Linked DNA regions of Caenorhabditis elegans. The protein of the gene in region 2 purifies or fractionates together with the protein of the main gene of each other region. This does not show direct contact. Each region holds a gene or a part of one and is shown on either strand. Other genes may lie near its edges.

Region 1 (7,261 bases), on a different chromosome or scaffold from region 2:
TGAATGAATATTTCATAACTTATTGATGAATACGGTAGACTTGCTGTTTCTGTTTTTTCACCTCCTTTGAAAAACTACAATTAGAAAAAAACGCATAGGAAGAAATAAACACATTTTGCTAGTTCCATAGTTTTCAAAAAGCGTGAATCGCCAAAGTTCACAGAACTTGGATTTAAACAATTTCGTCGTTTCAAACGACTTTTTTTTAAAATTTTCCTGTTAAAATATGAAATTCAAGCCCCAACCTCAAAAGTGTCAATTTTTTATACTATGTTTTTTTAACTTTCTGAAAAAAATTTGTATTGTTCCCAAGCGCAAACATCCCGATTTTGTCCACGATTTGCATATTCTTCTTGTCTGTATTTCCCCACATATAAAAACCGTGTTCCATGTTCGTTTTTGTTTCCTTTTCGTCTCAACGCCAGCTTTATCATTTTTCTTATTAACAAAGTTTCAAATTAAATCAAACTAATTATCTAAATAAGAATTTTGATTTTTTTTTGTCATTGGTTTTTCTGACACCGGAACTTTTTGGTGGATATAGAAAACTGAAGTGTAACATTCTGATAGTTCATACTGAGTCTCTATGTATGTAGTTATAACCAAAAAAATGCACCAGAGCCGAACATGAGATTGTTAGCAATCAGTTTATTTTTTAAAATTGGTCAAACTTGTACAATCATTTTTCAACAATTAAAAAAAGTTCAGTTTTTTAAACCCGCAAAAAATCGCCTGTGTAAACTTCCTGATTAACACTGGAGCATTCAGCAATTGTCAGAATATCTTCAAACACCAAGAGTTCAATTGGGGCCCGAATAGGTTTTTCCTCTCCAAGCATCAAAACTTTTTGGAAATTAAAAATCAAAAATTTGAAAGGTATTGCAATTTGTTCGTTATTGCAATATGAAGTGTATAAGCGGTTTTTTTTTAATACTTTCCCGTTCTAGAAATAGTGCAGTACCAAAATCTGGGAGTGTAACCTCGGAAACACACTTCATTTTCCTTTTTCAATTGTCAATAATTCAATTGTGTGTTCTGTTAGCCCCTGTTAAAGAAATATTCGATTTTTCAGTTTGATTTTTCGACTTTAAACTTTTGAAGCAAAAAAAGATTAAGCCGTTCTATTTGTGGCTTGAAACGGTTAGGCCCCCGGAGATCCGACTTTTTCATAGCAGTATTTCCGAATAAGATAATCTTTTTTCAGAAGCTTATATACTTCTATTATCAAAAAAGATAATACTTTTCTTTTTTTGAAGATAACATTCAATATTTCTAAATGTATTCAACCATAAGAACTTTGGAAATAATCCTCTTGTAATGTTGCTACGTATTTGCTCTTTTTTTTTCATTTTTTGAAAACTTCTTCAGTAATAGCTTATAGTTAGCTGATTAATATACATATTTTACAGATTTCAGTTCTAAGTTTGTCAAAAAAATTTACTGCAACAAACAAACCCTCGTCTCCAGGAATTATCGGGTTTGGCGTGAATTGAAAAAGTCGGTGAACGGCTAACCGATAAAAATCGACAATGTGAGGTTGATTTTTTTTAGAGTTGTTTCTTGAGATTGTCAATTCAAACATTAAATTGCGCAGTTTTATATATTTTTATTGTGAGCAAAAAAAAAGTACAGCTTACATATTATGTTTCAGTTAAAACTAACCACACTTTATTTCAGGTCACACCCAAATTATAACAGGCAACCTTCCTATGGTGAGTAAAAATAAACAAAAATCAGCAAAGTACAACATTCTGATTTCTAGAAGGCAATAATGGAAGAAATGATGATCGCAGAACATGGAATGCTCATCATCAGGGAAATAATGGATATCGTGAAAATGATGGAACTGGAAACGCCCAATATGGACCAAACGACAATAGGTATGTTTTTTTTTTTTGAGTTTGACTTTTTAGTCGCGAATCTAATTTTTTTGCGATCAAGCGATGCAATAAAAATTGAATACATGAAACATTCTTTAAACTTTACTTTTTTGCTGCAATACTAATTTTTGATTGTCTCGTATTGGCGCGTATTATAATAAAGGACATACCGTCAGCTATTGTTTAGTTAGTTCACCCTCCGTAAACCTCCGTCACGTCCAATCAATAAGTGGCAGGAATCCTTACGTCATAAAAACTGCAGATGGCAAAGTCAAAGATGTACCAACTATGTTGGTTGATAGTTGGTACATACGCATAGTTGGCACGTCTTTAATTTATCCTTCTCTGTTTTGCTATTTAATGATGTTTACACACAATTTCTCTGTAACTACGTGATAAAATAAACATTTAATTAGTAGATTGCTGCTAATTTTTTTCGTTTTGAAAAAGAGACCATTCAAAATAAAATCAACTTGATGGACAACGTTATCAATTATTTTTTTTCCCTACTGTTAAAATTTAGGAAGAAATCAAAACTCATAGTTTTTCTAATTTTATATTTAGTTTATTTTATAGTGTACTGCACATTTTACAAAAGGAAAGATGGGAAAACTTAGATCGGGAAAATTCACCAAGACGGAGCCGGTGAGTTAAATTGTTTACGGAAAAGATGTAGATAGGCCTAGCGTTCTCATGCAGACGCCAAAACACCTGTCGCTCCCGCCTTGCGGCGATCTCTACCTGCCTCGCGCCGCAAGTCGCGCTTCCTGTATAGTGTGGCGTGAAACCCGATAAGTGCCTTATCACATTTTTTGCAAAATTAAAAAAAAATCTCTTTTTTCGAAACAAAAAATTATGAGATTTTTCTGTTAAATTAGTTTTAAAACATAATTTGCTTTTCAATTTTGAAAGTTTTCCGAAAAGTTAATAGGGTCCACCCATCTTGATTTATTTGATAGACCTAGATGTAGATTAACTAATGTATGCATATTAGCGCCATAATAAGATCCTGTAAAAATGTATAACATTTTTCGTGGCCTATTTTTTTGAAGCTGTGGGAGTTTTTGTTATCAACTAAGATCTTTCATTTGACAGTGGTTTCAAAAAATGTTGAACACCAAAAGTGTTCTAGCCCGGATCCGGTTACCTCAGGCTTTTATAAAAAAGAAGTAGTGAACTTTTTTTTGAAGCTACCGTCAAATCAAAAATTATGGTTAATTACAGTAAATACCGCATTTTTCGAAAAATCGGTGAGCCACGAAAAAAGGTATGAGTTTTGACCAGGAACTTATCCCTCCCCATATTTTACAACACTGTTTACAGATCGTATTCCCCGCGGGATGATCACAGGAGAGGAAGCCCAGGTAGTTGATAAAGCAATGTATATAAATGAGTAACTGAGAAAATGTTTTAAGATAGAAATGATTCAAGAAACGGGTATAATAATGGAAACAACCGATATGTGGAAAGATGGGACAATTCAAATGGGGAAGAATCACGGAGACGGAGCCGGTGAGTTGATTTGTTTGTGCAAAAAATGTACATTAGCTGGTGTAAAGTTATATGAAGAGAAATTGAAAATTAGCTTACGTTTGATAGAGCAACTTTTCCTAGATCGCCCTTGAGGCACAATGGAAATATGCAAGCTTTCGATAATTTCAATGGACAAAATCAAAGGACTTTTTATTATCAGGCAGGCAATGTGCAAATAAGCGCAAAAATAAATTTGCCTGAAGGAACATGTGGAGACGATATGTAAGTTTTTTTTTAGTTTGTATGAAGAAAATTTTTCTCGATAATTTTTAACAACGTTTTTTAAAGAAAAATCCACACAATAGTGTCCATTAATGTCTTTTTCAGTCATTTTTCCGCTCTCATGAATGATCATGTTTGACATAAATTTTCACAGTTTCAAAAAATGAATAAGTAGCGATAAAGTTGTGAATTTGGACCGGGAACAAATCCCTCTAATAGAAATCAAGTGTCAATAAAAATATTTATTTTAGGCAACCTTCTTGGCACATTGGGAATAGACAGGCACAAGGTAAGTGGCAAATCAACAGAATCTGAAAACTTGGAAAATTCAAGAAAACATTCCAGATCAAAGACGGGATTCTCGTATGGGGAGCAATGTGAACAATGATGGTATGAGAAATACGGATCAAAGTTTGCGTAGGCAAGAAATGTGAGTGACACGATTTTGAAATAACCCAATTGAAAATTCATGAAAGACATGAGTTCCAGGCGAAACCTTTTTTACTGTGTGAATACAAATCTAATAATAATTTTTACTCTTAGATCATGCACACCTCCGATGCGTTACGAAAATAGACATGGAAGTCGTAAGTCGCGAAATTTCAAAAATTTCAAAAAAAAAGAAGATTTTGTAGAACATTTCCATGAAAGACAGCAGCAAATGAGTTCTAACAATGTCGGAAACGAACAACGTTCTGAAGGTAGAGGAACAGTTGGGCAATATTGCAATGGACAAGTTATGTGAGTTTTCGGGTGTTTTACAGAGTTGAGCTTTTTCTCGAAATTGTTTAACCAAATTTCATGTCACATTTTAATAACTGTATGTTGTGGCAAGTCTTTGTGTTTTGTTAGACTCAAAATGTGCTCAAAAACAAATTTCGTAATGATACTTGCTCAAAAAACTTCTCAATGAAAATTTAAGAAATTAGCTAAAACTAGGAAGTTTAAAATTACCATAAAACAAATTGAACAACTTTTGAAAAAAATTCCATACAAAGCTTGTTCATTTGAGCACATTTGGAGTTGTAAATTTTGATTTCAAAATAAATTAATACAATTGTTATGTTAGACTTGTGATATTTCTGAAATTATTTTATATACTCAATCGATAATAATTTGAACTATCAGAACACCCCCAAGTCGTGAGGAAAGGATGCGAGAACGTGAGTGACATTAAGAAAAGTTTTTATGTAAAAGCACGGTAATTTTGTAGTCAATGGCCAAAATCAAAGACAACCAAGGTGTTATTTGGGGGCGAACGGAAATTTCAATGGAACAAGACCCAATGATGCGTGAGTTTTTAGTTGTTTTTGTAGTGGTCCTCTTTTTTGAAGAAGCTTAACATATTGAGAACTTTCAGTAATCAGTAATCAATTTATTACTATATATAAAGCGCGTGTCCTTCCGTCCGTTTGTAGTTTGTAGTTTGATCTTTGATCTTTCAACTCTCTTTTCTGTAGTTGGAAGAGGTATTGGGTTGGGAGATGGTGAGGGATAATGTCAAGGTACTGTAGTAGTACTGTAGTAGTACTGTAGGTATACGGTAGGGTTACTGTAGTTCAGGAAAAATTGAGTTTTTGTCTACAGAAGAGGTATTGGGTTGGGAGTTGGTGAGGGATAATGTCAAGGTCCTGTAGTGCTGCTGTAGGAGTACTGTAGGTATACGGTAGGGTTACTGTAGCTTAGGAAAAATTGAGTTTTTGTCTACAGAAGAGGTATTGGGTTGGGAGTTGGTGAGGGATAATGTCAAAGTACTGTAGTGGTACTGTAGGAGTACTGTAGGTATACGGTAGGGTTACTGTAGTTTAGGAAAAATTGAGTTTTTCTCTACAGAAGATGTATTGGGTTGGGAGTTGGTGAGGGATAATGTCAAGGTACTGTAGTGGTACTGTAGGAGTACTGTAGGTATACGATAGGGTTACTGTAGTTTAGAACATTTTGAGTTTAAAACATTTTGAAGAGGTGTTGGCTAGGGAGTTGGTAGGGAATAGTGTCAAGGTACTGTAGTGGTACTGCTGGGGTGCTGTAGGATTATTGTAGGATTATTGGAGTTTGGTGGAAAATTGCGTTTTAAGTTTTTGAAAATGTATTGGCTTGGGAATTGGTGAGGATAATGTCAAGATATTTTGATAGTTTCTTGCTTAGAGTCGGGAACATTTGGGAAGATGTGAATTTTCATTATTTTTTCATAAGACAATTTTGAATGATTGTGTCAAACATTTCAAATGTTGCCAGTCGTTGGCCGCGCCGTAGGCGCGGTCAGCGGCTGGTAAATAATAAATCAGTAAAAAAAAAAGTAATAAAAGTAATTTTTAAAAAAAGTAATAGATCAGTAATAAAGTACTTTAAAGCAAAGTATAGTTTGTAAAAAAAATTTTTGCTAGAATCTTGAATACAATTTTTTTATAAATACCCACCATTCATTGCACATTTTTTTGTTTATTTCTTATTTTTTGGAAAATTTTGATGTTGATACATTCAAAAATGGCAAAAACTGGTCCGATGTTTTAGGGGTTTTTCGAGTTTTTCGATTCAGTATTTCGATCTTAAATTTATATCGTATGGAAGATTACTAGTATTTAAATAACTAGAGACACTCTACTTCTTGCAACTAGCAGTGTTGCTATAATTGCGCCGCACACCGCATATAAAATGTTATGGAGACATTACTTGGCAAATATCGTATTTTTGTAAATCCACCCTAGGCTAATAACAATTTCGATTTTCAGGACAAGACCTCCAATGTCCAATGGAAGCAAAAAGAAGGCAAAAGCATGTAAGTCTAAATAACAAAAGCTTCAATAACACTAATAATATTTATAGCGAGACGTGACGATTCGAGCGATGATGATCTTTATGCTGATGATCCGAATGATCCGGATTACGATCCCCACTTGCATATGATCGTAGTGTCAACTAAGAAAGAGCCCGTAATGTAAGTTTCATTATTTTTGAAGCATGTTGTAGATCAAAACGTTGTCAACTTTTCTGATTTTAAAATTGTTATTTTTGAAAATAAATCAATATTTTCAGGCCAGAACAACAAAGTTTATCTTTGACTGGAGATGAAAATCATCAGAATGAAGGAAGCAACAATATGGAGTAAGTTTTTCATGTTAAGGGTTTCTTCTATTAGAGAGGCATTCCGAATTAGAGAATGTGATAATAATTTTTGAGCGGGTTTACTCGAATTTTTTCTAGTGTATATACGTAATATCATAATTACTTTAATTTCACCAATTCAGCAACAAACAAACTAAAGAAAAACACGTATTTTCCGACTGACCAGTTTAAATAGTTCAAGTTGTATATATTGATACTGACTAAACGACAATTATTAATGTTTCACAATTTGATTATAAAGAATTTCAGTTTGCAAGACCCCGCGTTGCCCAGAAGTCACAGAAGGAGGTAAGTAAATTGAAAGAATGATGGATTGTTGTTTCAACTCTAATGTGATAATGGCGGCACTGTATATTGATTATTGCTCACACTGATACTTCCTGTATCCCAAAAATAGAATTTTAAATCTTTTGATATTTCTACTCAATTGTGAATTTAATCAAAATGAGAGGATTTTTTTGCATGTGGTTAATTTAAAAAAACACCATTTCTAAGACTCACGA
Region 2 (4,880 bases):
AAACTAAATATAAAGAATCGATTAAAATTCCGCAGCAGTCAAAGTTTGAAATTACAGTACTCGGCAACCATTTTGTAGTTACCAAAAAAGCGTGTCGAGACCGGACACCGTATTCTTGCGCAAAATTTCGCGTCTCGGCAATCATTCCGCACAAAAAATTCTGCTAATTTTGAAATGTTTCAAAAAATATTTTCAGTTTCAAAATTTATTGAAATTTAAAATACACAAGAAACTTTTGGAACGTTGAAAAAATTGTTCAGCCTTTTTTATATATTCAATTTTTCGATTTTTTTTTGTTGATATTTTCCAGTTTTCGGAATAAAAACTTCGAAAACTTCTTCCACTTTTCAGAAGTGTCTGCTTTTAGGTAAGAAAAAAGTTCATTTAATATAAAAAATACATCTTCTAGTTATTCAGCAGCAAAAATAGTTTGTATTAAACTTCCCGGTTGTGATGAAATTATTTCTAAGCTTCTGATAACTGGATGAAAAAGTGAAATAGAAGAAATCGGTTCAACATTTTTGAAAGTCAAAAACTAATTTATTCGAGTAGTATTCATACTAAATGATTCAAGTTCCTTTTGGTTTTTTCTTGGATGCAGGGACTACAAGCACTGTGGGATGAACCAATGGGGCAACATTCAATCTCTTCGAGTTGGCTGACGACTCCTGCTTCTCCTTTCTGAGATGAGATTTATGTGGAGTTTTATGTGGAATTTTAGTTGTTGTTCTCGACCGTTTGCTCTTCGGAGTTATGCTTCCAGGTTTGTCAATCATGATAGTCCTTTGCTCCATATCCTTATTTCCCTTTGACTTGGCATCGATGGATTTTCCGCCAACAGCATTAGCTTCCCGATCAGTGAGGCGACGTCCACTTTCTCTATGATCCTTCGTTTCTTTCGACTTCTCCAGAATCATGTCTCCTTTCGATCCTTTCTTCTTTCTCTCACTTTTCTTTTTTCGATCCGAGTTCTTTCTTTTATCAGATTCTTGATTCTTGGCGTCTTGCTTCTTTTTCAGATCTTTCTCTTCAACTGTTTCTACCTCATCCGCAGTTGGAAACTAAAATTAAATAATCAAGAGTTATCTTTGACAAAACATATATATAAACTAACATCAGATGCAGCAACGACCGATCCCCATGACAGCTTCAAAAGAGGCTTCACCACGTACTGGTCACCTCCGGGAACGTCGGATGTTTTTGGACGGAATGCCTCTTCAAGTACTGCAATCGTAGCGCTCTCCTCTAATGCTTTTTCAGGCAATCTTGATCGCGTTTGGTACTTTTTCTTGATAGCATCGGTCACCTCATTCTTCTTCCGAAAAACATCATAATCCATTGGATCAGTGTGCTTGGCATTCAAGTCCGACATCATCTTCGCCAAGAGCTCGTAGATCATCAAATAATTTGGACGATCGGGATATCTAAGCGTCTTCAAATGATCCATGATTGGTTCGAATGATTTTGTGAGTCTAAAAAAAAGATTTGAAATAACGTGAAATAAAACAGATAAACGAACGGATTGCTAGCCATAGCTGCATCAAACTTTTCCAGCTTCAAAAACTCGATCCTGTCGGGATGCACCACTTCTGACCATGGCAGCTCGACTTTCAGCTCGACGATCATGTAGAGCCAGGCGTAGAGGTCATCGACACGTCCCTGCTCACGACGAAGATGCATACGGGGAGAGCAATAGCGAATTGTACCACGGAAACGGCACTGAAAATGTGGAAGATTTTTGTAAGTTTCTACAAACGTATTAGATTAGGCAACTATTTTCAGAGTTTTATCTGAAGAAACCACTATTGTCGCGCCAGGACGAGAAGCAACATAGCAGTGATCATGAAGCGTCCGTTCTGGCGCGATTGTATGTCTGAGATCGTGGCGAGACCAACTCAGAAAAATAGAAAGTCACTATTCCACCAGAAAACAATAAATTCTAGACTTCATACCGCATCTCGTGGACGTCGAATGACGTACTCTCCTTCATCAATCTTTGCATATTTTCGCCCCATTCCGAAATCTATGAGAAAAATTAACGGCGAATATTCGTTGTAGTCCAATGTAACGTTGCATGGCTTCAAGTCTCGGTGTATGTAGCATGCTTCGTGAAGCTGAAAATTTAAGGTAAATTTATTTTAAAAGGATTTTAAATTTTCATGTCAAAACCGCATAAAATATAAGGTTATGTTTTCAGGTCTACGAACCTACCTCGTGGCTACCTACATGCCTAAAAGTATAAAACTTGGCTGCCTACATTCCTACTCTCACGAATATCTGCCTAGCTGCCTACCTATTACCTACGCTTTTATCTCTACATGCTTGCTCGAACTGAAACCTCACTTTTCTACCTAGGCACCTGCCTCATACCTGCATGCATATGTTCTTTTCTCATGCCTACCGGTCTACGAGCCAAACTTTTGTGCGAAATAATTCAGTCCCGATAAAATAATATTCCCATACCGCTTTGACTGCATGTAGACTTCGAATTGCAACACGAAGAACTGTAGAATCGGAGAACTGTCCTTTCAATAGATTGTAGACCTTCTGTAGATCCATTCCACATAATGTCATTACAATGAATCGATAATCGGGTTCCAATCCACTATCCAGCAATTGTATTGCATTCTTCTGGCCTGACAATGCACGCAACACCTCTACTTCACCTTTAAGCACTGATTCATTTCCCTCCTGGTACTTTTCCATTTTCATTGCCCCATCGGAACCATCCACTATATTGACAACATGGACTACTTTTCCAAATGCTCCTGATCCGAGTACCTTTACCGGATGCCATTTGTTTCGAACCGGCTGAAAACGGCTTTTGATTTTTTCCAAAAAGTTAAAGAGCAAACTTACAACATTCATATCAAGCTTAAGACTCGGTAATTTTTCGCCACTTGTCATTTCTTTTGATGAAAAATATTGGTTGTGTTGTAGACTGCCAACAAGCTAGGAATGATTCTTTTTGGCGAACTCTGAGTAATCGTTTCATTTGTTTCAACTTAACGACGTGTCGCAAAGTACAATCTAATATTTTCACGTTTTTAGAAAACAAGTGTGGTGTTAATTTGAAACTTTTCTGAATAAAAAGTATTAAATATTTGTTTGAAACAGTTCACTAAAGATAACTTCAAAAGTGGTTTTCAAATTTTATTTTCCTACTACTCTGCGAATTCCATTACAACACTACATGTGAACAAATTCTTTGAGGGCTAAAATACGGTTAAATCGGCCAATAAAGTTGATAATACAATCAGTAGGCTAATAAAAAAAATTAACTTCTCAAAACTAAAGTTCTGCACCATACTTGTGTATTACAGGCTCCACCACTTTATAATCATAATTCAATTCATATTATTATGCATTCACGTTTTTCAAATCTTAATTAATCTCTCTACATATGTGTGTCTTAAATCGTTTCTCTTGCAAATATGCTAAATCGATAATTTTCTGCAGTTTTGTTAGAAAACAACTTTTTGATCTACTCTGTCTTACCAATTGCCAATGGAGTAAATAATTTTGATATACAAAATAGTTTTGATCTACTTGTTGTCGCGCGTGATTTCTAATTTGATTACCCTCTTTTGCAAACTCAAGATAAAATGGCAGTCCTCGGTTCTGACTGTTTTTCTGTTTTTTATTTATTTTCATCGTTCGAAATGAATGAAATTCATAAATATCCGGGATATGTCCAATGTTTTAATATTCCTATTACTATTCTTACTGCTATTCTACTCTACGAATACGAGTTAGTTGATATGTCTGATGTATGGGACAACAACACTGTGTTCGCGATTTATACTTTTTGTATTCTTATGCTGGTATTTATTGCATTGAGCAAATCGAACGGATCAGTGACGGAAACTGGAAATCTGGGAAAAATCAAACGAAACTACATCATTGGGTCTTATGGAATGTCTCATCTGAATTTGTTGGCATTATTATCTTTTTACTATTTTCAAAGGAGCCCATTGGTAAGTTGTAAACTTTTAGTTTCAAAATACATTGTTTAATTACAGGTCTCCTACTTCGCGTTCTTCATTTCCAATTCATTAACTGCCGGGCTCTATTTCAAGTACATTTGGGGAGTGCAATCATTATGTCGTGAGATGAAGTGCAGGCATGGATGGAAGGATGTTTTCGATGCGTGGGGTCTTTGGATGCTCACTCCAATTGGAGTTCTCGGTGTCTCAATTTACATGAATACAGAGTATGGTCACGTGTTGAAGGTGTGGTTAGCTGCATTCTTCTACTTCCCATCACTTTTTCTCAATTACAAAACATACTTGGCAGCCAGTGACGGACAAATTAAACTTGCGGACAAATTAAACAAATTAAACTTGAAATTCTACGAATACGAAGTATTTGACCTTACCGATGAATGGCACAGATATACTCTATTCGGGATTTTCCGACAATTGTTCTCTACGGTTCCCTTTTTGTAATCGCCAAATCGCGCCGATGGGGCTTCGAATCGACATGTGAAAGAGGAGATTTAGAAGATTTCAAATGGAGTTACATGAAGGGAACGCATACAATCAGTTTTCTCAGTTTTATGGCTCTGCTATGCTTTTATAATTTCCAGAGGTCACCAATGGTAAGTTGTAACTGATTGTTTTTCATTGTTGTCCTAAGTGTTGAAGTTCAGACGACGTACTTCGCGTTTTTCGTTTGCAATGTGCTGACTGCTTTGGTTTATTTCTTGTTCATTCACGAGATGGAACCATTGTGCCGTAACATGCAATGCAATGATGGATGGAAAAATGTTTGTGGATCGTGGTTTCACATGTTCCTTGTGCCAATCGGAGTGCTCTGTGTAGCAATGTACGCTGGAGATTATACCTACGTGTTGAAGGATTGGGTACCTGCTCTCTACT

Evidence for each region. The genes of interacting proteins can lie anywhere in the genome.
Region 1: the proteins of T11F8.4 (region 2) and K05G3.2 fractionate together in Caenorhabditis elegans (co-fractionation; one large-scale study listed by BioGRID). This does not show direct contact.

Annotation. Positions count from the first base shown.
Region 1 is NC_003284.9:16,493,135-16,500,395, forward strand, and holds K05G3.2 (uncharacterized protein), read left to right. Parts: upstream 1-1,795; 5' UTR 1,796-1,880; intron 1,881-3,203; 5' UTR 3,204-3,244; intron 3,245-3,295; 5' UTR 3,296-3,392; intron 3,393-3,494; 5' UTR 3,495-3,519; coding exon 3,520-3,635; intron 3,636-3,886; coding exon 3,887-3,924; intron 3,925-3,980; coding exon 3,981-4,065; intron 4,066-4,178; coding exon 4,179-4,222; intron 4,223-4,270; coding exon 4,271-4,376; intron 4,377-4,763; coding exon 4,764-4,798; intron 4,799-4,848; coding exon 4,849-4,927; intron 4,928-6,364; coding exon 6,365-6,411; intron 6,412-6,458; coding exon 6,459-6,570; intron 6,571-6,668; coding exon 6,669-6,741; downstream 6,742-7,261.
Region 2 is NC_003282.8:5,473,609-5,478,488, forward strand, and holds T11F8.4 (non-specific serine/threonine protein kinase), read right to left. Parts: upstream 2,961-4,880; 5' UTR 2,908-2,960; coding exon 2,860-2,907; intron 2,812-2,859; coding exon 2,464-2,811; intron 2,115-2,463; coding exon 1,953-2,114; intron 1,720-1,952; coding exon 1,520-1,719; intron 1,473-1,519; coding exon 1,115-1,472; intron 1,062-1,114; coding exon 570-1,061; 3' UTR 523-569; downstream 1-522.